4 linked regions of the Astyanax mexicanus genome follow. The protein of the gene in region 4 binds, or shares a complex with, the protein of the main gene of each other region. Links are inferred from orthologs where the notes say so. Each region holds a gene or a part of one and is shown on either strand. Other genes may lie near its edges.

Region 1 (6,873 bases), on a different chromosome or scaffold from region 4:
ATTCAAGGTTTAGGACTGAAAACCACTGAACTTTACCATATTTACCACACAGTGTGGTACATTATCTTCTGCTGTATTTTGTCACCCACTAGTGGACACTTGCTGCAAACACAGATCCCTGCAAATGACATCATATCCTCGCTGTCCTATGAAAAACACTTATCTCCATTTTTGTTCATTTTTTAGTTTACTACATAATTTGAACAGACAAACTGTCCCTCACACTGTGCCACAATTTCTTGATGAACGAACCAATAGAAAATAACCTGAAATAAACTCTTTTTACATTGACTTCCATTGAAAGTTTACAAGGTTTTTTTCTCTCTCCTGTAAAGCTGCTGTTTTGGAGATAAGTGTTTTTTATTGGACAGCGATGATAAAAAAATAAGAGAGCCAAATAATTGTGGAATACAATAATTTACATGTTTTATTTGTAAGAAAAAACACAAACATTTATATTAAAGATGAGTTTTTACAAACAATAGATGAATATTAACACTTCTTCTTCACAAAGCTTCATTACTGTAAGTCCACATGGGGAAGGCCATCACACTGAGTTTCTCAGAAACTGGAGGGAGCTGAAGATTTTGAACAGTGGATAAAAAAAGCAAGGATGACTGAAACCAAGGATGAAATGGTAGTTTGGCTTGATGTGGAAAAACAAACCCACCAAAAAAGTAATTCCCATTCCAAAGCACTGCATGTAACCAGCGATGTGCACAGAGAACAGGTTAAATACCATCATTCAGGTTCATCATTTAATATAAATCAGTCTCTGGAAGAATTCATTCTAAACGATTTTTCAACTACAGGGTTTAGAAGTGGAGACACTATAGACGCAGGTCATCCTTGACTTGTGCTGTTTTCAGAGGCCTGGAACAGATCAAGTTAGACATAATAGGGAAATGTTAGTTCATTAATGACTGAGCACATCTCATCCCTTTTATTTTTATAAACCTGATCATCACATTTTTATTAAGTGGTATATTTTGAATATAAATTGAAAGTTACTTTATTTCAGTAATTCAGTTCAAAATGTGAAACTCATATATTATATAGATGTATTAAACACAGAGTGATCTATTTTAAGTGCTTACTTCCTTTATTGTTGATGATTATGGCTTACAGCCAATGAGAACCCAGAAAACAGTGTCTCAGAAAATTAGAACATTATATAAGACCAATTGGTATTTTGGCAGAGTGGGCAGTTTCTGTTATCTTATGTTACTACACCTTAAGTTACCTTAAGTGTGTCTGAGGCTCTGCGTAGCTCCTTTATGACTGATGAAAGGGCTTCAGGGTTGATTCCTTGCTCACACAGACGAACACATATGGACAAGGACTCCATATCCAGCCCTGTATTCAGAAGCCTGGAGATCTCCAGCAGAACTGAAAAACAGACAAAAAGAACAAGGTTACTGTCTACAAAAACAGTATCACATCCTAATACTGTGATGCTGTAATACTTGATATATCACAAGACAATTCTCTATGATACTAATAATTGTGACTAATCAACCAAACTGAGAATAAGCATGACTGATAAAAAAAATTATAGAAACCAATAAAAAAAAAATTGACCAAACTGAAAATATTTGTGACAAAAAAATAGGTAAATAAAAACAAAAAAATTCAAAATAGAGACCAATTAACTTTGAAATTGAAAACTAGAAAACTTATAATCGTGACTAATCAACCAAACAGAACATAATTGTCACTGATAAATAAATAATAGCAACCAAATGACTAATCCAATATATTAGACTGACTAATACATTAAAATATAATAATCATGATTAATTGACAAAACGGAAACTAATCGTGACTCATGAATAAACAATGGCAACCAATCGAAAATAATAATAATCGTGATTAACTGAAGCCTAACTGAAATAAACAAATAAAGAAACGCCCAATCGACTTATAGAAAAATAATAATTATGACTAACTGGCTAAATGGAGAATAATCTGACCAATCAAAAATAATAATAATAACTGTGACCAATCGACCAACCAGAAAATAACTGTGACTGATACAAAAAAAAAAAACATAACAGCGACCAATTGGCTAACAGAAAAATAATAATCGTGACTAACTGACCAATCAGAAAATAATCGTGACTAATAAAAAAAAAAACAATAGCCACCATATCAAATACAATAATAATCATGACTAATCGACCAAACTGAAAAATAATTGTGACTGATAAATAAACAATATGAAGAAATCCAAATTAATAATAATCGTGACTAATCGAACAAATGGGGGAAAAAATCGACAGATTAGTCGACTATGAAAATAGACGTTAGTTGCAGCCCTAGTGTAACAGTTACTTCTACAAGCTTCTATTAACCTTTAATGAATTAGTAATGAAGTGAACACTATAGCTTAGATGTTAGACTAATAACAGAAAATATTATGCTTGAGAAAAAAACAAACAACATTACAGAAAAACTTCAGTTAAATAAAAACAATAATAAATCACATTTAACACTCTCATTACAGCCAGACAGATACATAGAGCGGTGGGTAAGCTATGCAGGTTATGTTAGCTTCGCTTCGCTATTAGCTTAGCAAGCCTTCTGTATAGGATTTCACTAATATAAGGACATTATTAAACAGAAAATATTAAAAAAAATCAGTAGTTAAATAGATTAAATAACTCTGTTTCCTCACCGTCCATCGTTTCCCGCACAGCGTTCATGTTGGTACTGGCAGCGCTGGCCATCACAACGATAAGCTAACGAGCTAACGTTAGCACCAGCAACAACAAACTATTTAACTTTAGCTATTTACACGCTATTTGTCGTTATATTCCGGGTTTGTCCGACGTGTTTCAATTTTAACCCTTTAACTATATACTTAAATTCTTATTTAGTCTAAATAAACTCATAAAAATAGTCTATAAACTGCAGAAACCTGCTCGTTAGCTGTTTATTCTCATTTACTGTAGCGTTAGCTAGCTTCAACACCACAGCCGGTTTACAGCGAGACGGCCCACTTCCCATCTCACCCGTTAGATATAATAGTAAATTCAGTAAATGAGTTCTGACCGCTAGGGGAAGCCCGCGAGTGAGACCTCAAAAAATGGAAGTGAATGAAGCTAAAGGGCTAAGAACTTAAATAAAAATAGCAGTTAACTATTTTATTGTGATATTTCTGTAATTTTGGAAAGTATTAAGAGAGTTGTGGTACAACACTAAAGAAAACATTTCTATATGGTTACATTTGTCTTCAGGAACAGATTTTATGCTGGAAAGACGCTAGCATTACTGCTAGTGTTAGTTTTGGGGAGCTGATAGATGGATAGACAGACAGACAGACAGACTGATAGATAGATAGATAGATAGATAGATAGATAGATAGATAGATAGATAGATAGATAGATAGATAGATAGATAGATAGACAGACAGACAGACAGATAGATAGATCTCAGTGCCTCGTTTGTCGTATGTCTCGTATGTCAGGAACTACGAATTCTACCAATAAAGTGTGGAGCTAATTTGACATTGTTAATGGTGTAAAAACTTAGTAAGAACTAATAGGACCTCACACACCCCATACCTGCACTACTGCTTATACCTGCACTACCATACCCACTGTTTCCCCCTATGACTGTGGCATTTAAAGAAGTGTATGGACTCATTCACTTTACCAGCCTTAAGCTTCTATACCTCTATATTTGCACTAATGTTTGTACGAGTTCTGTTTAATCTGGTACTGTCATTCTCTCTTTAATCCCCCATCACTATTGTCCTACTGTCCTTATCTGTGACATTGTTGTATTGTACATTTAGTGTGTCTAATCCTTTTATATTTATAATATTATTTTGCTGTACTTGCTGTAACTTTTGGAAGAAGAGTAACGTAATTTCAATTCTCTGTATGTCCTGTACATATGCAGTATTGACAAAAAAAGCTAGACTGGACTTGACTTGAAAAATAGTGATTTCTCATAAGAAACTCTATGCCCCTATCACTAGCATTGTAAACCTGTTGTTTTTTTTTTTTTTGCTTTGGCTAATAGGTGAGGACTATTCAAGAAAAGTTTGTACTCATTATCATGTTTCACTACCCAAGTCCATTTTACACCAGATTACTCCTTTAAATGAATACACTGTAATTTTGCTCAGTTGCTCCATATATTTCCATTCATTTCTGCAGTGGGTATTCTCCTCTATACAGACTCTCTCATAGCTGCGGACTTGAGCAAGCGAGCAAGCGGAAACGACGTCACACACCGAGCAATGATTCTGATTGGTCGCTGTGAGAATCCCGCGCTTGTGATTGGCTGGCGTGCGTTGAGCAAAAATTAAATCAAACGTTTGAACACCAAAAGCAGGCTAGGAAACAGGAGCGAGGAGGAGGTCAGGGTGAGTTCTGTGTTTTCTGTGTTTTTAAGGATTTTATGAGTTTATTCGGGTTAAATCCGCTTTAATCCGGTTAACAGAGCAGCAGTTCACACCTCGCTTTACTGATCCGGTTCTGAATGAGGCAGATAAATGATGAATTAAGCGCTAGAGTTTTTTAATCAGGAGTTTAATCGCTTGTACTGGTACTACTTACTTACTCACTTACTTATTAACTAACTAACGAACTAAATAACTAACTAACTAACTAACTAACTACTCAGAGCTGAGCTCTAAGGGCTGCAGTGTTATAAAGGAAATTTCCTAAATAAGTAAGTTAAATAATCTAACTGACTAGGGGAAAAAACTAGACCAAACTAAAGAAAATAAGTTTCTTATGAATGCTAATATATATATATATATATATATATATATATATATATATATATATATATATATATATATATATATATATATATATATATATATATATTTTTTTATTTATTGATTGATTGATTGATTGATTGATTGATTGATTGTTTTTATTATTTATTTTTACCCATATCTTATTAATTTTTAAAAATGACGTGCACACCCAGAAACTTTGCTTAACTTATTTTGGGACTGTAACGTTTAAAATTAGCTTTTTTTTTTTTAAAGTAAAAATCTGAATTTGTTGTGCTTGAAAAAGGAAGCTAAACAACACATTTATTTTTTACTGTATATTTTTGCTAGAATTATATTTATATTGTTACAAATTATAAATGAATAAATAATGTACTTATGTCCTTTTTTATTTCTTTTCGTATTATTTCCTAGTTTTTAAATTTGTCCCATTTACGGCCTACTTTTTTTTCCAAACAAAATTTTACGCAAAATTTAAAATTAAATAAAATCTCTTTTTTTTTTTTCTTATTTTCTCTTATGTTACTTATTGTCAGTATAAGGGTTACAGTTAAGTTTTCTGATTTGGTGCGAAGTTTTTTTAAATATAGAAAATATTTTTTTTGAAATCCTTTTTTTGTTTTCTTATTTTTTTTAATGTCTGCAATCTGAATTTAAAGAAAAATAGGTTGAAACAATTTTTATTCATGTTTTTTTTTTTTTTTTTTTTTTTTTTTTCCATTTTTGCATTTCGTTACAGAAAATCTGATCTAATCAAACTTGCTTCTATTACAAGATGGGGGGAATATAAAAATCCAGAAAAAATATATACTTGAATTAAATTTCCTAAAATTTAGATTATGAGGAGTAGAAAAGGAAAAACTAAAAAAAAAATTGAATAAATGAATGAAAACTAATTTCTTCTTTACAACACAAAATAAATAAAAAATAATAAAGTTCATACCAGTTTTTTTTCTCCAAAATTTAGTACCAAAAGCCAATATGAAGGGCTTACAAACACTTTTTAAAATTCTGTTATTTTACTTTTTGATAACAAAAAAAGTAATATATATATATATATATATATATATATATATATATATATATATATATATATATATATATATATATATATATATATATATATATTACATTTTTATTTGTATAATTGTGCAGATATTGCATGTAAATTGTACTTATTCATTCTTCATATATCCTTTAAACTCAAAATACCTATAGAATAATGATTGTCAGCAAAAATAAATATTACTCAACAATATACCAATAAATGACAATCTTTTATAATGACATTGTTTGTGTTTTTTTTTTTTTTTTTTAATAAATCTTTGTTTCTTAATAAAACATATTGTCACTCTGCAACACATTAGTTAAAGATAATATAACATAGCTATAGGAAAATACTACATATTGCATCTTTAAGTACATTTTAATTAGAGTATTTATGTTTTTTCTAAGAGTATGGGACTATTTATCATCACTGATGAATGGTTCTGCATTGATTTAATAAGCTAATATGAACGTGTGAAGTGAGCCATTAGCATTCCCTGATCTAACTGTCTCCTCGTTTCTTGCTGTCCTGCCTCATGTTTTAAAAGCCTGAGGATTTCCTCTGCAGCATTAGGTGAAGATCGTTCAGCACAGAGGATGGGAGATGTTGTTGAGGTCCAGATCACTCCTGAAACTCCAGGAAGGCCGTCCATCCGTAATCCGTTCGAGAGTCCCACTGACTACCACCACCTGCACGAGCCCCTCGTCCCCAGCCCTTCTGTGTTCAAGTGCGCCAAGCCCTCGTCAGCTGTGAGTAACCACAACGGGTTTCCTACCAGGCCATTGTCTTCAACCCCATTGTTAATGTATCTAACCTGCTGAAAAAACAAGACGGACAAGCTGGTTAAGCTTGTTGACCAGTACAGGGTTTGTTTGCATTAGTTTAGCTGGTGTAACTGGTCTTAAACAAGCTAAACAACCAGTTGGACCAATCTTGACCATGCTGTAGGCCTGTCAAGATAAGAATTTTTGTGGACGATATATTGTCCCAGAAATTATTGCGATTCACAATATTTTTGTAATTTTAAGACTATTAAATGCAAATGACGTTATGATGAGCATAAAAAAGT
Region 2 (7,646 bases), on a different chromosome or scaffold from region 4:
ACAGATATTTGGCTGTCTGTGATTCTTCGGAAAATAGATATATATTTCTAATGAACACTTTCAACAATCACAGAAAAAAAGAGAAAAAAAGAATTAATATATCCATAACTGTCAACTACTACTGCACCTGGTATTAATACAAAACCACAAAGCTGATCAACCTGTAGCTGTGTTTATAATAGGGTATAGCTGACATCTAGTGGCAACCCATGAACAGTCCCACACTATTATCAGAGAACCCGAGCTGAGAAATAAGTGTATTACAGCCTTTTCTTTCATTGATAATACCATATAAAAAAAACATATAGCTGCTAGCATTCCTGCTAGTGAAATTTAATTAACACAAAATCAGAATAACCTAGACTGTTTATTTTTGGTTTAAGATGCTGCACGTCCTGTTTAAAAACCTTTATAACAAAAACTCTAGGAAGATTTTTCTTCTTCTTCTTCTTATTATTATTATTATTATTATTATTATTATTATTATTATTACTGTTGTTGTTCTTATTATTATTATTATTAATATTAACATTAACATTAACATTACATTAACATAACATTAACATTAATATTATTATTATTTGGATTTGTGTTCATGTTTTTTCTTTTTATCAACATAACAACATTTTTGTATTATGGAATTTGCAAATTGGTCAAACAAAGCTTTTGTTGAGCACTATTAGGATTAACGTAAGCCTACATTTATGGTCTCAAAATGAACCCAAAAAAGTCTAAAGGTTTGGAAAAAAAAAAGTCTAAAGGCTTTTCTTCCTGTACTAATTACAAGCATTATTCATTCATATACTGCATGTATAATTACTTATGTTAGCTTCTTATTATGTGGAATTATGATGGGGACTTTGTTATAATTAAATTGGAATTATAAGATTAATATTAATTCTGTAGATTTTAGTGGAGGTTTAGTTCACGTGGAAAAATGAATGAGCTGCATCTAGGCCTTTTTAATGTGTGAGCATTATTTACTTCACATAATGTTGGTTTACATGAATTATGTAAGTTAATATTCCTGATTTCTGATTTTAGCTCTACCTAGACCTTAAACAACTATTTATTAAATTAGATTAGATTAAATGTTGTCATTGTGAAGAGCACGGGTACAGAGCCAATGACATACAGTTAGCATCTAACCAGAAGTGTAATATACAGTGTTAGTTACATTAAGTGCCGTAGTAACCATAACAGGTGGTACGTAGTAACAATATATATGGAAAAAAATAAGAGACCACTTAAAAATTATGAGTTTCTTTAATTTTACCAAATTAATCACAAGTCATCAAATCAAGCTGAACTGCTTGAATTTCTGCACCAGGCGTGGCATAAAGTTATCCAAAAGCATTGTGTAAGACAGGTAAAGGAGAACATGTCAAGATGCATCGAACGGTAATTAAACATCAGGTTTATTCCACCAAATATTGATTTCTTAAAACCTTTATGAATATGAACTTGTTTTCTTTGCATTATTTGAAGTCTAAAAGCTCTGTATCATTTTTGTTATTTCAGCCATTTCTCATTTTCTGCAAATAAATGCTCTAAATGACAATATTTTTATTTGGAATTTGGGAGAAATGTTGTCTGTAGTTTATAAAATAAAACAACAATGTTCATTTTACTCAAACATTTACCTATTAATAGCAAAATCAAAGAAACTGATTCAGAAACTGAAGTGGTCTCTTATTTTTTCCAGAGCTGTACAGCTGCTAAAGAAATGCAGCATAGACTAGGAGCAGCAATGCAGAACAAGGGTTGAACTGTAAGAGCAGTGCAAGTAGACAGTAATACACAGAATTGAAAAATAACATATACAGTAGAATAATATTAAAGAACATTACTGTGCAGCATGAGTAACACTGTAATAGGTTTGGTAAAAATGAATAAAGTTCATAAACAGTAAGCTAGATTAACTACAGAAGGTGTAAATATGCAGATAAGTGGCAGTGCGAGTTTTTACAACAAACTTTTGTGCAGAAGTAATTTGATATTTATCAGAGCATTTAGTGCCAGTTATGGCAAATATATGGAGCAAACAGTAAAATTTCAGCGAGTTAGCCAAGCAGCTATTATAGCTAAGCTAACCTAGCCTAGCTAAGATAGCTAACAACAGTGCTACAGACAGGCGTGCGCTCTGGCAGCAGCTGCAGCTAGCCAGTGTTAGCGCTGATTATTAATCCACCCGGAAATAAAATTATAAACTCTTTAACTGCGATTAAAGTACCGAACATGCCATCCCAGCTCCCCTCCCGCAGTAATGTAATGTACCATTCTCGCAATCCAGGCTCTCCAGTATCCTCGGGCTGGGCTGGTTTAGGTGGTTTGTTGTTTGTTTAGCAGCTAAGGGCTAAAACTGCTTCTCCCACAGCGTGCCTATCAGCCTTGTCTCCTAGCAACAAAAACCCATACAAGAAATAAAAGTCCATTTATGTCAGTTAATAGTTGTATTTAAAATAATATATAATAATAATTAAATACGAAATAACAAAATAAATATATTTATACCAACAAACAGACACGTTTCCTTCTAGTTTGTATTACTAAGGTTATTCAGTAAATGTTACTACCTTACGAAAGTCTGCAACCCTAATGTATATTTCTTTAAATACTTAATTTGCAAGAACAGATAAGGTTATGTGTGATACATATATCATACATGTATCATACATTTTTTTTTGCAAATTAATTTTTTGGTAAAGCTGGCTAAATAAAACAAGAAACAGGAAATTTAGACGGGCTGAATGCTCAGAAAATCTGAATTATAGACAATATTTTTACATCTTAAATTATTATTAAGTACTTCAAATACTTTATTTATTTTAACATGCTACCACTGTCTACAGCACTCATTTACTAATTTAGTTTACCTCACTGAATCTATACAATAGTCAAACAAACACCAGCTGTGACTACATTTCTCTTAACGACTTAATTAACGACTTAATTTTAACGCAGTAAACTCAGATAGTATAATCTGCTTGTTAAAATTGGAAGTAATAAGTAGCTACACTAAAATCTGGTCGCGCATGCGGAGAGCCCCTAAGTAGCACATGTCGATGCGTAGCACAACTCGACAGAACACCGGAAGTAGCTCGTAGTATGACCGGCGCTCACACGTGGACTTTGTTATGATTAAAATGGGATTAAGATTAATATTTATTCTGCGGATTTTAGTACAGGTTTGGAGCAGAGGAGGACAGTATGAGCTGCAGTTACAGTAAGTGCTTAGTTAAGAGTGAGACTTTGATATTAATATATTTAATTAGTTATATTTTACTGTTATAATTATGAATATCATCCATATATTGTGTGTTTTATAGACTGACTGCGAGGAGAAGCAGAGTTTAAAATCTTAAACAGTTCGTATATCAAAACCCAGGCCGATCAGGAGACCAGCATGACCAGCAAGCCTCTGATACTGGACGGGGGTTTGGCTACAGAACTGGAGGAAAGAGGATTTTATCTACAGGTACTGAGAGCTTTAGAGAAGCAGACATAGAATAGGAGAATAGAACCAAAAAATACACCAGGGGTGTGTTACAGGGAACATATTAAGAAAAACAGGAAAAACAACAGAACATAGAAAATATGATACTGAATTATTTGATCACATTAACTATAATCAGTGTTCAGACCCGACAAAAACCTGGCAGAAAATTATTTTTATTTTATTATTTAAAGTGTTTATTTGACCATATTACCAACTGAACACTTTGCATATTCAGCTTTATTTTTGTATCATATTTGTAATTATTTTAAACCACAATTTAACAAGCTGGATCACTGACTTAAGGTACAAATGTGTTTATTATTTTTATACTGCTTGTTGCAAAAGAGATACATATTACAAGGTCACATTTGTCAAATAATGTTGTAGAGGTCTCAATCTTACATTCGTATACATATGAAATCTAAAGCATTAAACATCTGAAACCACTATCTGTTACCATAACAGTGTGCAGTATCACTACTAGGCCTGTCACTATAATTATTGACTATGATATAATACACAAACATAACCTCAATCATTTTTGCAGACCTCAAGATTATTCATTGGTCGCAATTAGTATAGCAAGCTCATTAATGTGAATGCTCTTGTATGTTGACTTTCTTTTTAAAAGTTTATTTCATTTTATTTAGGTTGTAGTATGTTAAGTATTTAGTATAGTTCAGATTGTATTTTTGACCTTGTAATATGTATCTCTTTTGCAACAAGCAGTATAAAAATAATAAACACATTTGTACCTTAAGTCAGTGATCCAGCTTGTTAAATTGTGGTTTAAAATAATTACAAATATGATACAAAAATAAAGCTGAATATGCAAAGTGTTTAGTTGGTAATATGGTCAAATAAACACTTTAAATAATAAAATAAAAATAATATTGCATAATTGCAGTTATTCTCACTTTTTATTTTTCATTTACAATAATACAGTTATATTGTATTATTTACAGTAATATTGAAGACATTAGGGCTATACAAGAACACATGCGGAATTATCTTGTTAAGAAAAAGTGTTAAACAAACCAGAATCTGTTTTTATCTGTTTTATACTTCTATTTTATTCTTCTAAGTAGCCAAATCACCATTTCAGTTGATCAGGTTAAGATCGGGGATTGTGGAAGCCAAATGTCTTTAATATTAATCCACAATGTAGAAAATAAATAAAAAAAGAAAAAAAGAAAAACATTGAATAAGGATACAGTGCCTTGCAAAAGTATTCGGCCCCCTTGAACTTTTCAAACTTTTGCCACATTACAGGCTTCAAACATAAAGATATGTAATTGTATTTTTTGCGAAGAATCAACAACAAATGGGACACAATCATGAAGTGGAACGAAATTTATTGGATATTTTTTCCTTTTTTTAGAAATAAAAAAACTGAAAAGTGGGGTGTGCAATATTATTCATTATTAAATATTTTTGTATCCAGATTCGGCTTTAAACTTCTCCACAACAGTATCTCGGACCTGGCTGGTGTGTTCCTCGGTCTTCATGATGCTCTTTGCCCTTTAAACAGAACTCTGAGACTATCACAGAGGTTTTATACGGAGACTTGATTACACACAGGTGGATTCTATTTATCATCAGTCATTTAGGTCAACATTGGATCATTCAGAGATCCTTACTGTAGTGAGTTTGCTGCACTGGAAGTAAAGGGGCCAAATAATATTGCACGCCCCATTTTAAAATATCCAATACATTTTGTTCCACTTCATGATTATGTCCCACTTGTTGTTGATTCTTAACAAAAAATAACAATTTCATATCTTATGTTTGAAGCCTGAAATGTGGCAAAACGTTAAACATTTCAAGGGGGCCGAATACTTTTGCATAGCACTGTAAAGGATTAGTATTTGATTATGATTCTGTGGGACTTATAAAGCATTATCTTTTTTTATTCTGGGACATGTTTCTGCAGGAGGATCCGTTATGGAGCGCTAAAGTCCTCTACACAGACCCACAGGCCATTAAAGATGTGCATTACAGGTAATTCCAGCATGTTTCATTCTTCCCTCATTGTGTCTGAATCTGCAGTCAGACTGTGAGGATGATGATGAGCTTGTTTCCTCTGTGTGTGTCTGTGTTTGCGCGCAGGTTTCTTCAGAGTGGATCTGATGTCATCACCACAGCTACGTACCAGGCCACTCTGGAGGGATTTTTCAAACACCTGAAGCTGAAACCTGAACAGGCTGAGGAGTTACTAATATCCGGAGTTCAGATCGCTAAAGACACTGCAGCGCTCTTTACCACTAACTGTACAGCAGCAGGTGTGTGTGTTAGCATAGCCGTTTAATTTAGATTCAGAATATTTTTCAGAGGCAGACAGACATTGTTAAAAAATCGTGAGGCTATCTGAGATCATTAAAAGACCAGTATGTATTATTTTTTGTAGCAACTGAAAAATTAGACTGGATGCATGATCGAGTAACATGCTAAGCTAATGCTAAGTTTAAGTTCTAGGATTATCTCCTTAGAACTGTTTGTTATTGGGTGGAATTAGGGTTGAGCGGTATTGAAGTTTTTCCACCATGTTTAAAAAACCGTGGTGTACCGAAATACCGTCATACCGCCAAACACAAGGTGGAATATTTCTGTCTTTTAGCCTCTGGCCCCACGCTCTGCCTACAAGACAGATACTGCTAATTCTCTTCAGAACAGAGTAGTGCTGAATTTCATCTAACATTAGCTGGGTAATTTGTCACAACCGCTAGTTCAGGGATGAGCATTTAAGATAATTTCAACATTTTCACAGCATTTATACTCAGTGCTCAGCTGAGTGCAGCTGGGTTATCAAGGCAGTCATGTATTTAAGGTAAACTGACGGGACACAGCTGTTAACTCAACAGAGACTAATGTACACAAAGATACAACAGAAACAAAAAATTGAATTTATATTGACTCAGTTTAGCTTTGAATATGATTATACTTGATCTCATCTTGCACTGATTTGCTTTCAACCCTGCAGTCTGTGGAGGAGAATTAGTGGCAGTCAACTCTCTCTAGTGTTTTAAAATTATACTGCATTAGATATTTGTATATGCTTGTTGTCATTTAATACATACTGTTCCTTTAATTTTGTAGATTATGTTCACTGACAACTTTTTATTCTGATAAACGTTCACAGACAGAGCAGTGCCACTGGTGGCTGGTTCTGTGGGTCCATACGGGGCGTTTTTGAACGATGGGTCAGAGTACACTGGAAACTATCAGAGCCAGATGAGTGTGGAGGTAAGCCTGAATAAATCACTTTGTTCATACAGGAGTTAATAGCTAGCTAATTACTCTCAGACCCGGCACAAACCCCATGCTCCTGTCACTGCAGGAGCTGAAGGACTGGCACCGCCCACAGGTCCGCTGCTTAGTGGCAGCAGAAGCCGACCTCATTGCCTTGGAGACCATACCCTGCCTTAAAGAGGTGGAAGCTTTAGTGGGGCTGCTGAGGGAGTTTCCTAATACTAAAGCCTGGATGTCCTTCTCCTGCAAGGTACCTAGGCCGTCTACACACTCAACTGCCAAAAGTAATGTGGCAGGAACTAGTATCGTGTCCCATGACTTTTGGCATGTTTCATGTTAGGTAAAGAGAACTGCACTGAGCTGTATGATATGTGGGTGGGGTCTCCTGCATTGAATGTGGATAAGGAATCTAAATTTCTCTCAGAGCCGCTAGTCTCTGTTCACACAGACAATTCTAGCCGGTGGATGGTAATATTAGCTTTCTATGATGTGCTTCTTTTACACACATGACACTGTGGATGGAGGTATGTTAATTCACCTGCACCCACTATCAGACCTCACTTCCAACTTCCATAATTCACCTGCACCCACTATCAGACCTTACACCAACTCCCACAATTCACCTGCACCCACTATCAGCCCTTACTCCAACTCCCATAATTCACCTGCACCCATAATTCACCTGCACCCACTATCAGCCCTCACTCCAACTCACATAATTCACCTGCACCCACTATCAGACCTTACACCAACTCCCACAATTCACCTGCACCCACTATCAGACCTCACTCCAACTCCCATAATTCACCTGCATCCACTATTAGACCTCACTCCAACTCCCATAATTCACCTGCACCCACTATCAGCCCTTACTCCAACTCCCATAATTCACCTGCAC
Region 3 (7,688 bases), on a different chromosome or scaffold from region 4:
AGAGACCAGGAACTCGTCCCGCTCGATGGTCGGGGCGTAATTACTTCCGATGACCCGCACAGCATACTGAAACTGGTACGCCACATCAGCTGGAAAAAAGAAGGTCAGAGAACTCAGTGACGCACGTGTTAAACATCCCAAAGGCACCTTTTTTCTGTCCCCAATAAAAGACAAATCAAACATAAAAAGGTATAAAGCTAGACGCCATGTCAAATAAGCAGACATACTGTAGCTAACGTAATCAATACTGCATCCAATGATGTTAAATTAAGGGCCATATATGGGGTCTATATTTATCCTACAGGCATTTATCTAATCGTTTTTACCTCATTTTCTGAGGAGGGTCATATTACTGAAGAGCTTTCAGAGCAGAAATCTCTTTACTGCTGACATACAATAGTCGATAATGCCAAATGTACTGTCCTGTATGGAAACTGACAACTTGTAATATAATTATGAAACTACCTTGAAAGCAATATGTGCCCAAAAAAACAAGGGAGTAGAAATAGTGAGTGTCCCACTTTTACTGTACCAGTACCAGTCTCTACTCTTCTACAACAGATGGGCCCAGAGCATCCCTTTCTATTGCCAGTGCTTTCCTTAAAAGTTCTCTGGACTGGTAGATGGAGTGCCATCAGTCCTGATTGGTCCACACAGTTCCTGTACTTCACAACTTAGGCTGCTTTCACATTTAACTTGTGTAAAAGCAAGTGTAAAAGGTGCTGCAAATCATGGTGTGGACCTTTAGACCAAAAAAGGTGGTGTTTGTATCAATTGGAACATGAGTTTGGTTAGTTAGTAGATGTTTTAGACTTTGTCAACCATTCAGCAACAGAAGAAGCAAAAGAACTGGTGCTGTGCCAAAATCCTCCGACTCCATCAGAACTGATTACACTGGCAATCACTGTATCTACTGTAACTGTACTTGCAAACAGAGATAAGTGATCTGAGGCTAATCAGTTACATTCATTCTGATGTGGGACGTGCAGGCAGGCGAAGGGACGCTGAATTCTAGCAAAAGGATCTGTAAAGGCATCTCGCCTAATTAAAACATTATACAATCAAATTGTAAAAATAGTAGGTGACGACAACGGTATGCAGCAAAGTTATTTATTTATTTAGTCTAGAACCAAAACAAAGCAGGCCAAATGTATGTACACATAAACCTTGATTCAAATTCTGGTCCAGATTCATACAACTTTTAACCAATAAATTTTCACGATTTTTTTCATGACTTTTCTATGCCTTCAAGACAAATTTTATTATGATCAAACGATTTTTAAAACATCACTGAATGCATAAACAATAAAACCAAAAACAAACTAAAACTATAATCAAATTTGGATTATAGTAGGCCTTAAATTAATCTGACGCACAACCTTTAATAGTAAAATGCATGTCAAATCCTAAGAGCACCATTGTGTAGGTCTAAATTACTTGATTTACCGATGTATTTGTTAGCTCAAAATAGATTTTCTCTGTTCATAAATGGAAACACAAAAATGTGTAGATCAAATTTCCCTGGCTGTTCCAAAAGGTCTGGGTGTTTTTATTTTTCCAAAACTTAACAGCTTAGTTCCTGCAGCTCATGCCTGGCTTTTGAGCATATCTAAATTAGTCTTGCATGCAAATGTTTCAGTACTTCCCAGTGTGCTGAAAATACCTTTACTCTTCAAATCTTCAAATTAATGGTTGGCATTAGATCTGCCATGAACATAATAATATTTTTGAATTGTTATACAATAAATGGACATGCCCTTAATAATATTAGATGATTGTGATATAAAAACAGTGAACAGTATTTTAGTAACGACCAATGCAGAAGGCGCAAAAAAGAGGATATATATTTTCCAATCTAAGATTAATTAACATTTTGTAGTCAGTGGCACTTATATGGTCTTAAAAAGACAATAATATAATTTATTGCAATATATCATCCCCACACACACAAAAAATCATCATGACAGGCCTAAATGGCATTATACTCCATTGCATCCTTTTCAAGTGACACTACTTGTTTTATATACGCCAGAATCTCTAGAGAGGTGATTCTCTGCTCAGGTAAAAAGTTCCTGTAGAACAGGTGACACTTATGAGCATCATATTCTATTGCCAATGCTTTTTAATTAAGATTATACAAGCTGTGGCATCCTGAGATGACTAGATGAGTCACTGATTAGAAGGTGTGTCTGCACTGAGCACTGTATTTTTTTTCTCCATCACTCCATTCAAAGCAATGCATGCATGCATGTCTAAATGGCAGCGTTTGACTCCTCATGTCAGTGTATCTTTACTGCTTCTCTGATTCAATCTGGCAACCTGGGCTAGCTTGGACAAGATAGGTTGCTAACTAACTAGCCAGGATAAGATGCTTGAGATATGGACCACAGCGGGTGAGAAACTAATTAGCTAACTAGAGAGAAAGATAGAAAGATAGCCAATATATGCTTTTAAACATTATAAACTTTTAACTATTACATTTAATATTAAATTTAAACTATTACAGAGACAGTAACCTAGCTAGCTAGTAGAGATTCTCTTCTCAGCTCTGTTCCCAGTTATCATTTGCAGTTTTCTCGTTTTCACAAAACTCTTAAAGCAAGACAGCGATAAACAGCTCATTAATGGTCAAAAATGGTCCAGCTGAAGAAAAACGACCACACACACACATTAAACACGAAGCAGTCGTGTGTTTTCAGACAGCTGTGCGGTGGTAAACGCTGGCTATAGAGGACCTTATTCAGGTTAGCTAGCTTAGCTCCGCTGCTCGTTACCTTCGCTCTTGCCTGTGATCCTGCAGCACAGGCTCTGCAGAAGCACATTGGGCGATTTCTGGTCCAGAGCCGCCATCCTGCCCGTTTTCTGGATGTCAGAGACGAAGCGCAGGGGTCCGGGGGGTCTACCTTAGTCCTGCCCGCTCTCCTTATTCCTCCAGCGGCTCGCCATTTTAACACAACCCGCCGAAAAGGCGGCCTCGGTTAGAAACGGAGCGGGAAAAAAATACACGGCGGAGTGAAAATACGGCCCACTGAGAAACAAGCGCTCATCGAGGGTTCCGAGCTTTTCGTTCCTACCGATAAAAGAACATCCAGACCACTGTGGGATAGGTTATAATGAATTAATCAAATAAATAAATACACACAGAAAGCATAAGTAAAGACACATAATGCATTTAGAAACTGAAAAAAACTGTTATGAAAAAATAAGATTTTTTTGCTAATGATACTGCTTATTATAATTGATGCTTATTATGGAGGTCCACAATATTTATTTTTATGAATTTCCAAATTTCCGTTTTTTAGAAGGGCAATATAACCCAATACATTAAATGGCTTATTCCGCGTCATTTTGTCAAGTTACTATTAAATTACAAGAATTACAAAAAATGAATAAAATAGATAGCTAGAAAGGTTTTAATGGACAGTGACAATACCTGTATCAGTCTGGTTTTTGTTTTGCCCAAAACTAAACTAAATATAAAACTAACTAAATATACAGAGTTTAATCACATTTATTTGCACGGTATTTTAGATGCTAGTAAAAAAGGTGAAGCATCTGTTTTCTACATTTTATGATTATTAAATCACATTGGCTTTAGTATTAGTATACTTCTATAGTGTATATGTACAGTAACAGTTTATGGTTTGAACACACCTTCTTATTTAGTGTAACTTTTTTCTTTTAATTTAATTTTAATAAAATTTACTTTCTAAATATTCTGGTTTGTTTAACACTTTTTGTTTATTAATAATAATGATAATAATAATAATAATAATAATAATAATAATAATAATACTAACAATAGTTCCCCATTCATGTAAAGCTTTAATGTCTTAATATTAAATTAACAGTAAAAAACTTTTGACCGCTACCGTATACTTATATCTGCATAACATATTTTTTATTGAATATGAGTTTAAATATTTAGTCTATATATTAAACTTGCGGCTCACACTGCACCATTCTGGAAATGCGTTGCATGATTTGCGGTATAACAGTTATGATACGTTTTTCTGTTTTAGCAACCTAGATAAACACATACATTGTACATTACATGTGTTACATGTGTACAATACATTGTACATTACATGTGTTACATGTGTACAATACATTGTGTTCACATTAAATCTTTTTCAGTGTTTATATTTATAGAACAATTAAAACATTAAATTGTATTAAAACTAGACTTATTTTTTTCGGCAAGTGATTTGTGTGAGATGCTCTAAAAGAACATTTAGAGTATTATATTATTATATTAAACATTAATCAAAAGTGATACGAAAAATACATGGGATGTTGGAACATTGCTTGATTGCAGTAAATTAGTTTATAATTAGTGGATTACATGCTCTGAAGCTCACTCCAACACCTATACTGGCCCAGCTACTGTACTGTATTATGGAGCTGCTTATAAATACAGCATCTTGCTAAGTTAGGGCGGGAAGGAGGGTGTGGGAGTGGCTGGGAATGCGCATGCGCCTCGAGCCCCCCGTGACGCTCCTGGAGAGAGGGCTGTGATTGGTTGTGCATGGAGGGCTAGTACTGGGGTGAGAGCATAGACTGTGTATGGGTGGGAAACAGAGAGAGAGAGAGAGAGAGAGGGAGGGAGGGAAAGATAGAGAGAGAGAGAAAAGGAGAGCGAGAAAGAGAGAGAGAGGGGGACAGGACTCGGCAGAGCCGCTGGAACGCAACACTTGTCCAGGAAGAAGTATCTAGCTAGCTTGCCTCCTTCAGCACTACTCGAGGAGGGCTGCTGGAAGACTCGGAGACTGAACGGCGGTCAGCGGGGCGGTGAGCGCACGGAGCCCCGAGACAACATGAGCAAGCCCGGACTCGCCGCTGCGCTCTCACCGCGACCTGGAGAGAAATAAAGCCCCGGTCAGAGCCGTGCAGCCCTGCTGCTGTCTCAGTATCAGTGTGTATCAGTCCCGGCGGACACAGCAGCAGAGACAGAAACAGAGACATGGAGCAGCAGAGGAAGATCAGCTAGCGATTCACACACCTCTCTATCAACACACACACTCACACACCGCGCACACACACACGCAGCCTGAAGAAGATCTGAGGAGCAACACGCAGGCGGTGGTGTTGACCGGCAGGAGAAGATGGATTTTAGCACCATTAGGAACCTCATCAGCAGATACGTGAGTAACGTTAACGTTACCTACTTAACCTAACCTCGTTAACCGTTACCTAGGTTAGTTAACCTGTTCAACTTGTTGGTCTGCCCCTTCTTTCTCTCCGTCTTTCTCTTTTCTCCTTTTTTCTCTCTTTATTCTAACGTTACTCTCCTGAATGTGAATGGAAGCAGGAGGACTGAAGGCTGAAGCTGCTGCTGCTGCCTGTTAATTAACTAACGTTAATAAATAAAGCCCTTTAAACCCCAACGTGGACACCATGTTTCTCCAGCTAAAAAACAGCAGCTAGCTAGTTAGTTTACTAATAAGTAAAGCCGTTTAAACCCCAGTGTGAGCACCATATTTCTCTAGCTAAAAACAGCAGCTAGCTAGGTTATCGTTAACTAACCTAATTGATATACACACAGCACACAGCTAATTAATGTATATCCATAGCTTTAGTAACAAATTGAGACAGTCATATGCCAGGGTTTATTATGTAAATACTAGAGAGAGAAAAATAATAAAGACAGTGGTAGTAGTAGTAGTAGTAGTGTAGTGGGCTACTACTGTAGGTTATATATTAGCAGCTGTATGTAGCTAGGTAACCAAGGTAACCCAGGTCAGGTGGCTAATGTGTTTTAGCTAGGTTATCTAGTTAGCTAATTAGCTAAGTATGGCTGGACGTTATTGCCAAAATTGATATCATGATAAAATGTTAACTAGCTACAGTTTCCGTTATAAAGAATATAATCAAGAGGAAGAGGGATGATCACAAGCCATCAATCCAAGCTGAACTGCTTGAATTTTTGCACCAGGGGTGACATAAAGTTATCCAAAAGCAGTGTGTAAGACTGGTGGAGGAGAACATGCCAAGATGCATGAAAAAAAAACAGAATTATTCCACTAAATGTTGATTTCTGAACTCTTAAAACTTTATGAATATGAACTCTTTTTATTTTATTTTTTGCATTATTTGAGGTCTAAAATCTCTGCATCATTTTTGTTATTTCAGCCACTTTTCACTTTCTGCACATAAACACTCTAAATGACAATATTTTTATTTGAAATTTGGGAAAAATGTTGTCAGTAGTTTATAGAATAAAACAACAACAAACAAATACCTATAAATAGCAAAATCAGAGAAACTGATTTAGAAACTGAAGAGGTCTCTTGATTTTTTTTCCAGAGCTGTAGGTTAGGTGACTAATGTGTATTAGCTAGGTTATCTAGTTAGCTAGTTAGCTAAGTATGGCTGGAAGATTTTGCCAACATTCATATCATGATATAACATTCTAGCTAAGTACATTAATTGTTTTTCTTTATTAAAAAAAAATGGTCTGCATTGTAGTAAAATATACTACATTTTTACTACTATTTAGAAAAACATATAAAGTGATTTAGAGTATCTGAGTAATGTTCTAATTCATATTATGGCAAGTACAGAAAAGAACTTTAAAAGTATTCTCGAGTGCAGTTGCAAAGACCATCAAAAATCAACAATCATCAGGACCGCCCCAAAAAAAGAGTCATGACTTCATTTATATGAAAACTATGCATCCCATGAAAAAGCTCTGAAAATTAAAAAGTGATGATTTGTCACGCTGTGACAATTTGGCAGAAATGTAATAAGAAGATGTGAGAAGAAAACGAAGGAGAAGAATGTCAGTTGAATAATAATATACTGTAGTTTGCAAAAGTCCTGGGAGATAAGCCCATAAAATAATATCACAATATGTCGGGGTATTTCTGTGATCACAGTATTCTTGGCAATGTGACAAAAAAGTGTCAATATAATAGTTTTAACCATTTAACCAGAAATTATTTTTTTATTTACTATGTTTTTTTGGCATGGCTAATGAACGGAACCCACAAATCTGTTCTGATAGGAACACCTTTTGAAAGAATGTGAGAAGAAGCGTTAGAATATTTTAAGTTGCTGTAGAAAAGCAGCTTTTTTAAGGCAGGTGACTAGCTTATTTATTAGCTTATTAGCTCAATAGCTTATTTCTCCAGAGTACTGATAGGTATTCTGGGTAGGTCAGTGTGTTTGTAGGGTGTAGTGTGTGTGTAATTATAGCTAAGGCTATAGCACTGAGCTAATGACAGTCTTTCCAGTATTTTTTGAGGTGACTTGGAAAGAACAAGAAAAATGTGCTTAGTCACAATAACTTCATTTTTTTTAAAGCATATATTGTCCTAGAAATAATTGTGAATATTATTATTATTACTGATATGGTGATAACATTATGGCACAATAAAACAATTACACATTTTTAAAGGGCAATAATGTTTTACTAATAATAGTTGATGATTAACTAATATTCAGGAGATCTGTCTCTATGTAGGCTCTGTTATTGATATATGTATTGGTCATTGCACGACTGGCTATAATATTGGTAAAACAGTTTATTTGTATTTAAACAACCATGCAGGTGAACACAATGAAATATATCAAGGCCAGTAAAAATGATTGAAGTCATATCTGTTTAATTGTATGATAAGCTGATAAGGTAATTATAGTGACTGGACTACTCAAATAAAGCTAACATTTATTACATTCACTTAGGC
Region 4 (7,414 bases):
AGCAAAATGAAAACAGATAAATCCATCACTGGTCTGTTAAAAGGTAATAAGCCAAATAAAGAAAAAAATAGTCTGTCACAATGTGGCAATTAATTTTATAAGCTCTGTATGAATTTAAAAGCTAATTCTTTGTTTTTAGTTTTACCTGCTCTCTTGTATTTCTTTCTCTCTCTATATTAAGCTTCTGTTTACATACCCGAATAGTGAGGCCAGTGACCTCTGCGTTGCTGGGCACCGGTGGCAGGTCCAGCCGGATGTCTAGATCTGCTGTTCTGAAGTGCTGCAGGGCTCCAAACAAGGACAGCCTGGTGTCCCTCTCAAATCTCTCCTCCACCTCCACTCTCCTGCCCAGGCCTGGAAGACCGGTTCCAGGTAGAGCATCCATTAGGCTTAGGGTCCTACACATACCCCCAAATGCCCCCCACTCCTCCTCACACACCAGAGCCCACGCCCTGCTCTCCAGTTTCTGCATCTCCTGACTGAGATAACCCCCCAGCGGTGGTCTGCGGAGCACCGGCCGGTCCCGCCGCATGTAGTCTCTGCTGAAGGATAGTGCTGGAGGAGGAACTGAACCGGCTAACTGCACCAGGAACTCCAGGACTGAGTCCACCTCGGACAGGCCAGACGAGAGGGCCACTTCACGGAGCTGCGCCAGGAGGCCCTCAAGCCTCTCCGCTTCCTCAGTGTGGCCAGAGACACGCAGGTCGAAAGAGATCATCAGCATCTTGTTGTAGGCGGGAGTGCTGGCCAAAGCGTTTGCTGTCAGGCTGGATTTGGAAGAGCCATCCTGGAAGAGTTTGGACAGCAGTGCCCCGTAGGCTCTTTTACGGAGGGTGCGGCGGAACGCCTCCCTCGAGACGCTGCCCATAGAGTGGCGCTTCCATGATACTCCAGACAGGCTGCAATCACACAGTGCCCCTAGGAGCTCTGTAATGCTGCTGCTGGAACAAGTGGACATTTCAGTAGAACTCTGGCAGCAGTACATGGTGAGGTACTGGCACTAAGATCAGTGGATCATCTGCCCTGCAAGAGAAAACACAAGCACAGATACATTATGATTACAAGCCTCAATTTAAAAAAAAAAATCTTTGCATATTTTACTGGCTAGTTCTACTTTGCCTATGTCAAAATAAGTACATACATTTTGGTTAGCAGGAATGACAACTGCTAAAAGTGTTTTGTTTAATGTTGGCTTATTCTTTATGCACTTCCTTTTGAATACAGTTTGTTTAAAATTGTCTTCAGCTAGAGTTCATAGATTAATTGTTAAATATATTATTATAAGTATTGAGATAGTGTATTGCAATACAGTAGCAATTTTCAAAAACAGTATTGATTCTTAGGGTGTTTTGACACCTTAAAGTCTGGAACGGTTCATCAAGGTTTTGGTTTCACACTGCAGTTTGGCGAGCAGACTAAAAAACTACATCCTGTTGTTATCAGCTATGTGAACATGAGTCTCTCTACGCTTAATATTATTTGGTTTGTAGAACATTATGTAAATTATGAGTTTGACAAGCAAATTGAGTGTAAAAGACTATATTATCCTCAGATTTCTTTTATTCCTGATTATAAATAAGGGATAATCTACTGTTACAGTAAATAAATTAATTGCCAGTCTAAGCATTCTTGTCTATAATGCTGCATGATGTACCTGCACACCAGGCAGGGTCGGATTTTGGCACACACACGATTCTTTTTTCGTTTGTTTTGTTTAAAGATGGCCTCAACTACCTGCAATTGGTCAGAAAGTCAGAACTATCTAGAAACATGTTTTCACACTGGAGGTGAACCGGACCATGGTTCAGAAGATCTGGACGGAGAACACCTCTGGTTGTTTGTTCCAGACTGTGGCTTGCTGCCTTTTTCACACCTGCTACTTTGGTCCAAAGTGAATGCTTGAAAGTCCAGACCAAAAAAGAAAAGTGTGAAAGAACCCTGCATTATTAGTTTACAGGTAAATATTGTACCATGTTCTTTTCAATACACCCCCTGATAAGAATATGGTTGAACAGAACTGAAGACTTATGCAGATGAGTCATGATCGATAAGGACTGGTATTGAAGTATTGGACTATATGCTTATATATAGATATGTGTGTGGTGGTTGGGTGGGTGTGATAATATAATACTGACAAATACTGTCATTTTGTATATGAAAACAATAAATATTTTATTACTAAACATGCAAACAATGGCACTGTTATATATTTTTTAAATCATGTCTTTCCCAGAGCTTTATTCTACATTCATAACTTTACTTTATTCACATGTTGTATGAGCATCACTTGATAAGGTTATAACTATTAAAGCATGGATAATGGCATAATAATATTGGCAATATTTTAAATAAATATACATTAATTCAAGATAATGCTACAAATATTTTGTTTACAGAGCCAAAATAGATGAAACACAGCCACAGACAGTGTAGTTTATATAACATACATACTCTGCCTCTATTAGTGAATATAAAGAATACATCAGGAATGAGGGAGGTTATTAAACATTTGCTTATAGCTAGTTAACTATATTTCTCCAAGATTTAACAAGATGAACAACCGTTAACTAGCTAGCCAACCTAACCTAGTGATGTTAGCGGGTCACTTGGCCTCTCAGAAGAGCTGGTTTATAGAGTGTTATAATTCAGCTGTATGTGTGAGTGAGTGTGTTATGGTGTTATTATTGTTATATAGTTCTCCGGCTCTGTCTGAGTGAAGCAGGTTCTGTTCAGATTGTTAAACGCGGAGGTTTATCTACTCTGAGCTCCAGCAGTAGGAGGACATTGGCGGCTCTGCTCTCGGTTCTCACCCGGGCTCTCCGCGCTTCCTCTGGGCAGCAGCTGCAGGTCTGTCGCTCCAGTCCGGCTCACAGCGGCTCCATGAGCCCCGACCGCGGAGCTGCAGCGGCGGCAGGTCTCAGTACAGCCCGCCGCTACAGCAGAAAAGCTCCAGAACCGCGTCTCTACTCTCATTCACACTGTAAACACCACTACTGCTGTTATTTCCTGTCATTTCCACTCAGCGACCGCGCGACTTTTCAAAGCCCCTCCCTCCCTGGGGCATGATTGGGTGAAATTCTCTGTGTTGAGCTGCGATTGGATAAGACAGTTAAGCTGGTAGTGAACACTTCCGGTTTAAAAGCGCGCCAACTTGCGGATGATTCAGGAATTACCAGTAACTCTCTGCACTGCTAAACCAGCACTGCTAATAACTCTGAAAATACTGTTACTGCAGGTTAGTCAGTAGCATCCAAAAGTCAGAGCATTAATGCCAAAGACTAAACGTTCCTAAACATAGATATTTTAATCAATGTTATCATTATTTATTTCTTCTATTTACAGTGTGGCTTGTTTGTGAAACCTTTAGCAAATTCTGTATTTCTTACCGATAAATTCAAAACTTCCATAGATTTCCTACGAAGTCCTAAAAGTAGAACAAATTAGTATACATGCTCATTTAATTTTTGAGGAAAATGATCCAGTGTTACATATATTTATGTAATATATATTTTTATGTAACAAACAAAAGTTAAATCATTTTCCTCCTTTTCAGCTGGGTTGATGTAGAATTTAGATTATCTATCTGCCCGAGCCCGAGCCGAACCTAATTATATTAAAGTAGAGGAAAGTCATTGTAAATTATGTTATTGTTCTTGGTCTATTTCGGTGTAATGATTGTGCAGTGCGTAGCCTTATTGCTTTTTTGAATTTCGCACTTTGGGCCCGTTCACACGAAGCTGGATATTGGTTTCTCTCTCTGTTTTGGCCTTCCGTCCACACAAAAACGGCGACTTCAGTCACTGAAAACGGAGCACTTAAAGACGCCTTTCAAGGCGGAGCCTTGTGGACAGGGAAAACTGAGCTTTCTGAAAACTCTGATGTCACACAGCGCATGTTGCCTTTTGTTTAGCATTAGCTTAGAGATTGGGAGGGGACTATTTTCTGTGCAACAACAGCGAACTCCGGCCGTATTTTTACAGCATATTTTCTCATATTTTTCTCTGACCCAACAGCGCGGAATTACCCAGTAAATTACCAAAAAGTAAATTTGTTTAGAAAGTATTTAAAATTCTTAAACCATGTTAAAATATATTAGATTAAAGGGAAATCATTCAGACATCATCCTTGTAGCCCAATTTACCAATGTTTAGGCCTGTGGATCATTTTTCAGTTTTAATCTTTCGAAGATCGGTTCTTAACAAACATTTTTCTTAAATAATAGGTCTATGATTCTTCAGTGTTGAAATTAAATAATTAAATAACATTATGAACAGATTTCGCTTATTAAAACAGCCTTATGTGCTTGGGCACATAATAACAGTTTATGGGGTGGGTCAGGTTGTGCTCGGGCAGAATGGGCTCGGGCCAGGTAGGGCTGGATTTTTTTGGACCTGATCTAAGCTCTAGTTTGATCGCTATTGTGAAACTATATGTGCAGCAATAACTACTAACTAAATATTTGTGTTTCCTTTGAAGAGTTTTTCGTCCATTTCCTTAACCAATTAATTGCTTACTTTAGGTCATCTTTTTATTGGATTAAGGTCAGGATGTTGACCATTCCAAAACATGAGCTGTATTCTTCTGTTTTCATTCTTTGTATGAACGATTTGTGTGCTTTGCAGACATCCCAAGTTGCAAAAAAATTATTTCTGAGAGGTACCACACTAAAAACTGAATGACCTGTTCTCTGCAAGAGAACATCAGAGAGCCGTTATTGATATGCGGTTGACTCCTGCGACTTAAGACCTCTGGCTTTGGGTCATTGTCTTGTTGCAGGACCCGCATTCGCTTAAGATTTAGCTCAGAAACAGATATCCTTTCAAGATGTATTAAATTCATAAGTTACAAACCACCCTAGATTAGATGAACCCACGATTTTTACAGCTTGCAATAAAAAAAAAGGAAATGGCAAAGAAGCTGAAAAGTCTGGGCACTCTACACGATCGTTTAGTTACACTCTGTTTGGCAAGTAACATAGCATTTAGACATTTTTGGAGGCAGCATGATTTTTATTTATTGCTTGGGGGATTTTAGCTATTTTGAGATCTTGTTGCACTGCTCTATCCATAGATTTTTGAAGATATTAAGGTTAGGGTTAAAGTGTTGACAATGTGTTATCCTTGATAACTGGATAAAGCTCCTTATATAAAACCTAAACACATATTGGTTAGCACTGGAGACAACTGAAGCTAGCAAATATCGTAAACTAAAGTTACTGAATAATCAGTTAATTCCTTGACTTTCAAGCATTTCAATATATGTGTTTATAATTCACTCCAAGATTCACTAAAGAAAAACTCAAACTGTTCTATTTTTTTCTTTTTCTCTCCAAATTACAAGTTTTTATTTGGGTATAATGGTTTAGCTAGATTAGCTTCTCTGCCAGCATGACTCACATGCTGTGATAGAGACAGAGAAATACACTGACATGCCAAATGTCATAGAATAACAGCAGTATGCAAACTGATCATGAAATATAACCTCAGTGCACGGCTTGGCAAGAGCCACACCTATATATGCTGTGAGGTGCTATCTTATGTATTAAGTTGAATATTTACCAGTGTGCTCATGGAGTGTGCTCATTATTGGAGGTGGAGCGAGGTCTGATAGTGGGTGCAAAAGGGGTGGGACATTTCATTTATGAAGATGTGAAGACATTTAACGTTCTTTAATCCACAGTGTTGTGTATACCGCTCGCAATACATCATAGAAGGCCAACCACAGTGAACAGTGCATTTAGTAGTAATGAATCACTGGCTAGAACTATCCGTATGAACTGACAAGTAAAATCCACAGTAGAACACACATTTCCTGGGATATAGCAAAAGTCAATGGACAGAATACTAATACCTGATGTGGCATATCAATGTATATGTGAAGAGAAAGAGAGATGGAGGTAAATGGGACTGTTAGAGTGAAGCTAGTTTCTGTAAAATTTGGCTTCAAACACAATCGCACACCGATGAGAGGCACTGGCGTGTTGCTAACACACACCCACAGCATCTGTTTGTGGTCAACCAATGCAATATTAATCATGACAACTGTCAAGTTGCTTTTTCTGGTTTTCTAGTTTAATTAAGGTCTGTGTTGCTCCTTGTGGAGATGTGTGTACATGTGCGTATATATTTGCAGTGTGTGTGTGCTCCTTGTAAGGAATATAAGTAAAAAAAGACCCAGGCTCATTAGTCTGTGTGAAGTATGAGGCTGAAGATTAATGTCATAGCTGTATTGCAAAAAAAAAAAAAAAAAACTTTTTTTGGCAGTTTTATTTTTCACACCATGTCAATATGTCACAATGAATGGACCAACAGAAATGCTCCAAAATGAGCTGGAATATTTTTTTTTAATTGAAGTTCAGTTAGTCTTCTTCCTTCTCCTGTATAGTTGCCATTTTTTTAGCATAACAGCAAAGATTTCTTTAAATGGTCTTGCATTTGTTTTGGTGTAGATTTGTTCCTTTGGTTAAATTGAGCCCTCATGTCCTGCAGAGGGGACCTCTCTTGCTCATGCTTTCTGTAGTGTTTAACCCTTTAATGGACTTGGTGTGTAGTGAAACATGATAATGAATACAAACTTTTGTTTTAAATAGCCCATCTCTGTTCATGCATTCCAAAATACAGCGCTTTTAGCAGATGCTCCCAACAGGTTTCCAATGCTAGAGATAGGGGCATTGTCCATGCAAAGAAATGGCTATTTTTACACCATTTATAAGCTCAAAGTAGCTCCAAAATGTATTTGTATAATTCTGAGGACCCTAACATTTAGAACGAGGCAGTGAGAACTTTGAAAGTGCACAGATTTATTAAAACAGGTTATTAAAAAACACAGTTTATACACACAGTACCTTGAGGTAGTTCCTCCTTCAGACATCACCATCTTGAAATTAAGTCACGATAAGTCGATAAGCCATGGAACTTTATGAATTCCAATTTTTGCTGAAAATATTTCTACATTATTAACCTATATGTTTGGACTCGTCAATGACGTAATTTTAAGATGGGCACTTATTAAAGTTCTCAGTGCCTCGTTTTAAATGTCAGGATCCTCAGAATGTTCCCAAGAAAGCTAAAGCTAAATATTATGCCCCAATCTCTAGTATTGAAAGCCTGTTGGGAGCATCGGCTAAAAGCGCTGTATTTCAGAATGTTGGGGTGAACAAAGTTTGGCTATTCGACAAAAGTTTGTACTTATTATAATGTTTTACGACACCCCAAGTCCATTTCACACTGGATTTCTCCTTTACCAGCAAGTTATTTTAAGGACTTTTAACTGTGAGACTCTCACACTCTCAATAACAGACAAGAATAAAAATATCAGATCTTACACTCGATTTTTAGACATCAGATGTCTGTCTAACAATGTGACACAAGGGATTGTAATTAATAGAATGTAATTATTCTGGTGTTGAAAGTAT

Evidence for each region.
Region 1: the proteins of tubgcp6 (region 4) and mzt1 are in contact, whole or in part, in a crystal structure (PDB 6M33), measured with the Homo sapiens proteins. The link is inferred for Astyanax mexicanus from reciprocal best matches to the Homo sapiens genes TUBGCP6 and MZT1. Residues at the interface, in NP_065194.3 of Homo sapiens: Met1, Ala2, Ile4, Leu7, Phe8, Asp10, Leu11, Cys12, Ala14, Leu15, Pro17, Ala33, Leu37, Val40, Ala41, Ala44, Leu45, Asn48, Ile70, Leu73, Lys85, Arg88, Leu89, Leu92, Val93, Glu95, Leu96, Leu104, Leu105, Ser109; in NP_001065243.1 of Homo sapiens: Asn17, Ala20, Val21, Thr24, Val27, Leu28, Glu30, Ile31, Ser32, Ile34, Leu35, Asn36, Thr37, Leu39, Glu42, Thr43, Leu44, Ile46, Cys47, Arg49, Leu50, Cys51, Glu52, Gln53, Ile55, Asn56, Pro57, Glu58, Ala59, Leu60.
Region 2: tubgcp6 (region 4) and nme7 share a complex: the UniProt entries of both Homo sapiens proteins name them as parts of the gamma-tubulin ring complex. The link is inferred for Astyanax mexicanus from reciprocal best matches to the Homo sapiens genes TUBGCP6 and NME7.
Region 3: the proteins of tubgcp6 (region 4) and tubgcp3 are in contact, whole or in part, in a cryo-EM structure (PDB 6X0U), measured with the Homo sapiens proteins. The link is inferred for Astyanax mexicanus from reciprocal best matches to the Homo sapiens genes TUBGCP6 and TUBGCP3. Residues at the interface, in NP_065194.3 of Homo sapiens: Pro65, Arg67, Asn68, Leu71, Met72, Ser74, Phe75, Asp76, Arg78, Asp87, Glu90, Asp151; in NP_006313.1 of Homo sapiens: Pro9, Asn10, Val11, Leu13, Gln14, Glu25, Ala26, Ala29, Gln30, Phe32, Gln33, Val36, Arg37, Ile39, Gly40, Ser41, Phe43, Thr129.

The regions. Positions count from the first base shown.
Region 1 is NC_064428.1:31,769,694-31,776,566, forward strand, and holds mzt1 (mitotic-spindle organizing protein 1), read right to left. Parts: upstream 3,003-6,873; 5' UTR 2,730-3,002; coding exon 2,678-2,729; intron 1,390-2,677; coding exon 1,244-1,389; intron 874-1,243; coding exon 844-873; 3' UTR 410-843; downstream 1-409. Other genes in the region: bora (protein aurora borealis), read left to right, coding at 6,401-6,553. UniProt on the Homo sapiens protein: Required for the recruitment and the assembly of the gamma-tubulin ring complex (gTuRC) at the centrosome.
Region 2 is NC_064412.1:46,691,657-46,699,302, reverse strand, and holds the start of nme7 (nucleoside diphosphate kinase 7), read right to left. Parts: upstream 3,007-7,646; 5' UTR 2,877-3,006; intron 2,609-2,876; exon of another isoform or gene 2,515-2,608; intron 2,399-2,514; 5' UTR 2,281-2,398; coding exon 2,278-2,280; intron 1-2,277. Other genes in the region: zgc:172121 (homocysteine S-methyltransferase YbgG), read left to right, coding at 3,407-3,478, 5,433-5,500, 5,609-5,781, 6,639-6,742, 6,837-6,998. UniProt on the Homo sapiens protein: Possesses an intrinsic kinase activity. Displays 3'-5' exonuclease activity with a preference for single-stranded DNA. Does not seem to have nucleoside diphosphate kinase activity.
Region 3 is NC_064428.1:26,418,655-26,426,342, forward strand, and holds the start of tubgcp3 (gamma-tubulin complex component 3), read right to left. Parts: upstream 3,010-7,688; 5' UTR 2,851-3,009; coding exon 2,775-2,850; intron 90-2,774; coding exon 1-89. Other genes in the region: atp11a (phospholipid-transporting ATPase IH), read left to right, coding at 5,106-5,144. UniProt on the Homo sapiens protein: Component of the gamma-tubulin ring complex (gTuRC) which mediates microtubule nucleation.
Region 4 is NC_064409.1:46,359,638-46,367,051, forward strand, and holds the start of tubgcp6 (gamma-tubulin complex component 6), read right to left. Parts: upstream 3,018-7,414; 5' UTR 2,811-3,017; intron 1,024-2,810; 5' UTR 986-1,023; coding exon 197-985; intron 1-196. UniProt on the Homo sapiens protein: Component of the gamma-tubulin ring complex (gTuRC) which mediates microtubule nucleation.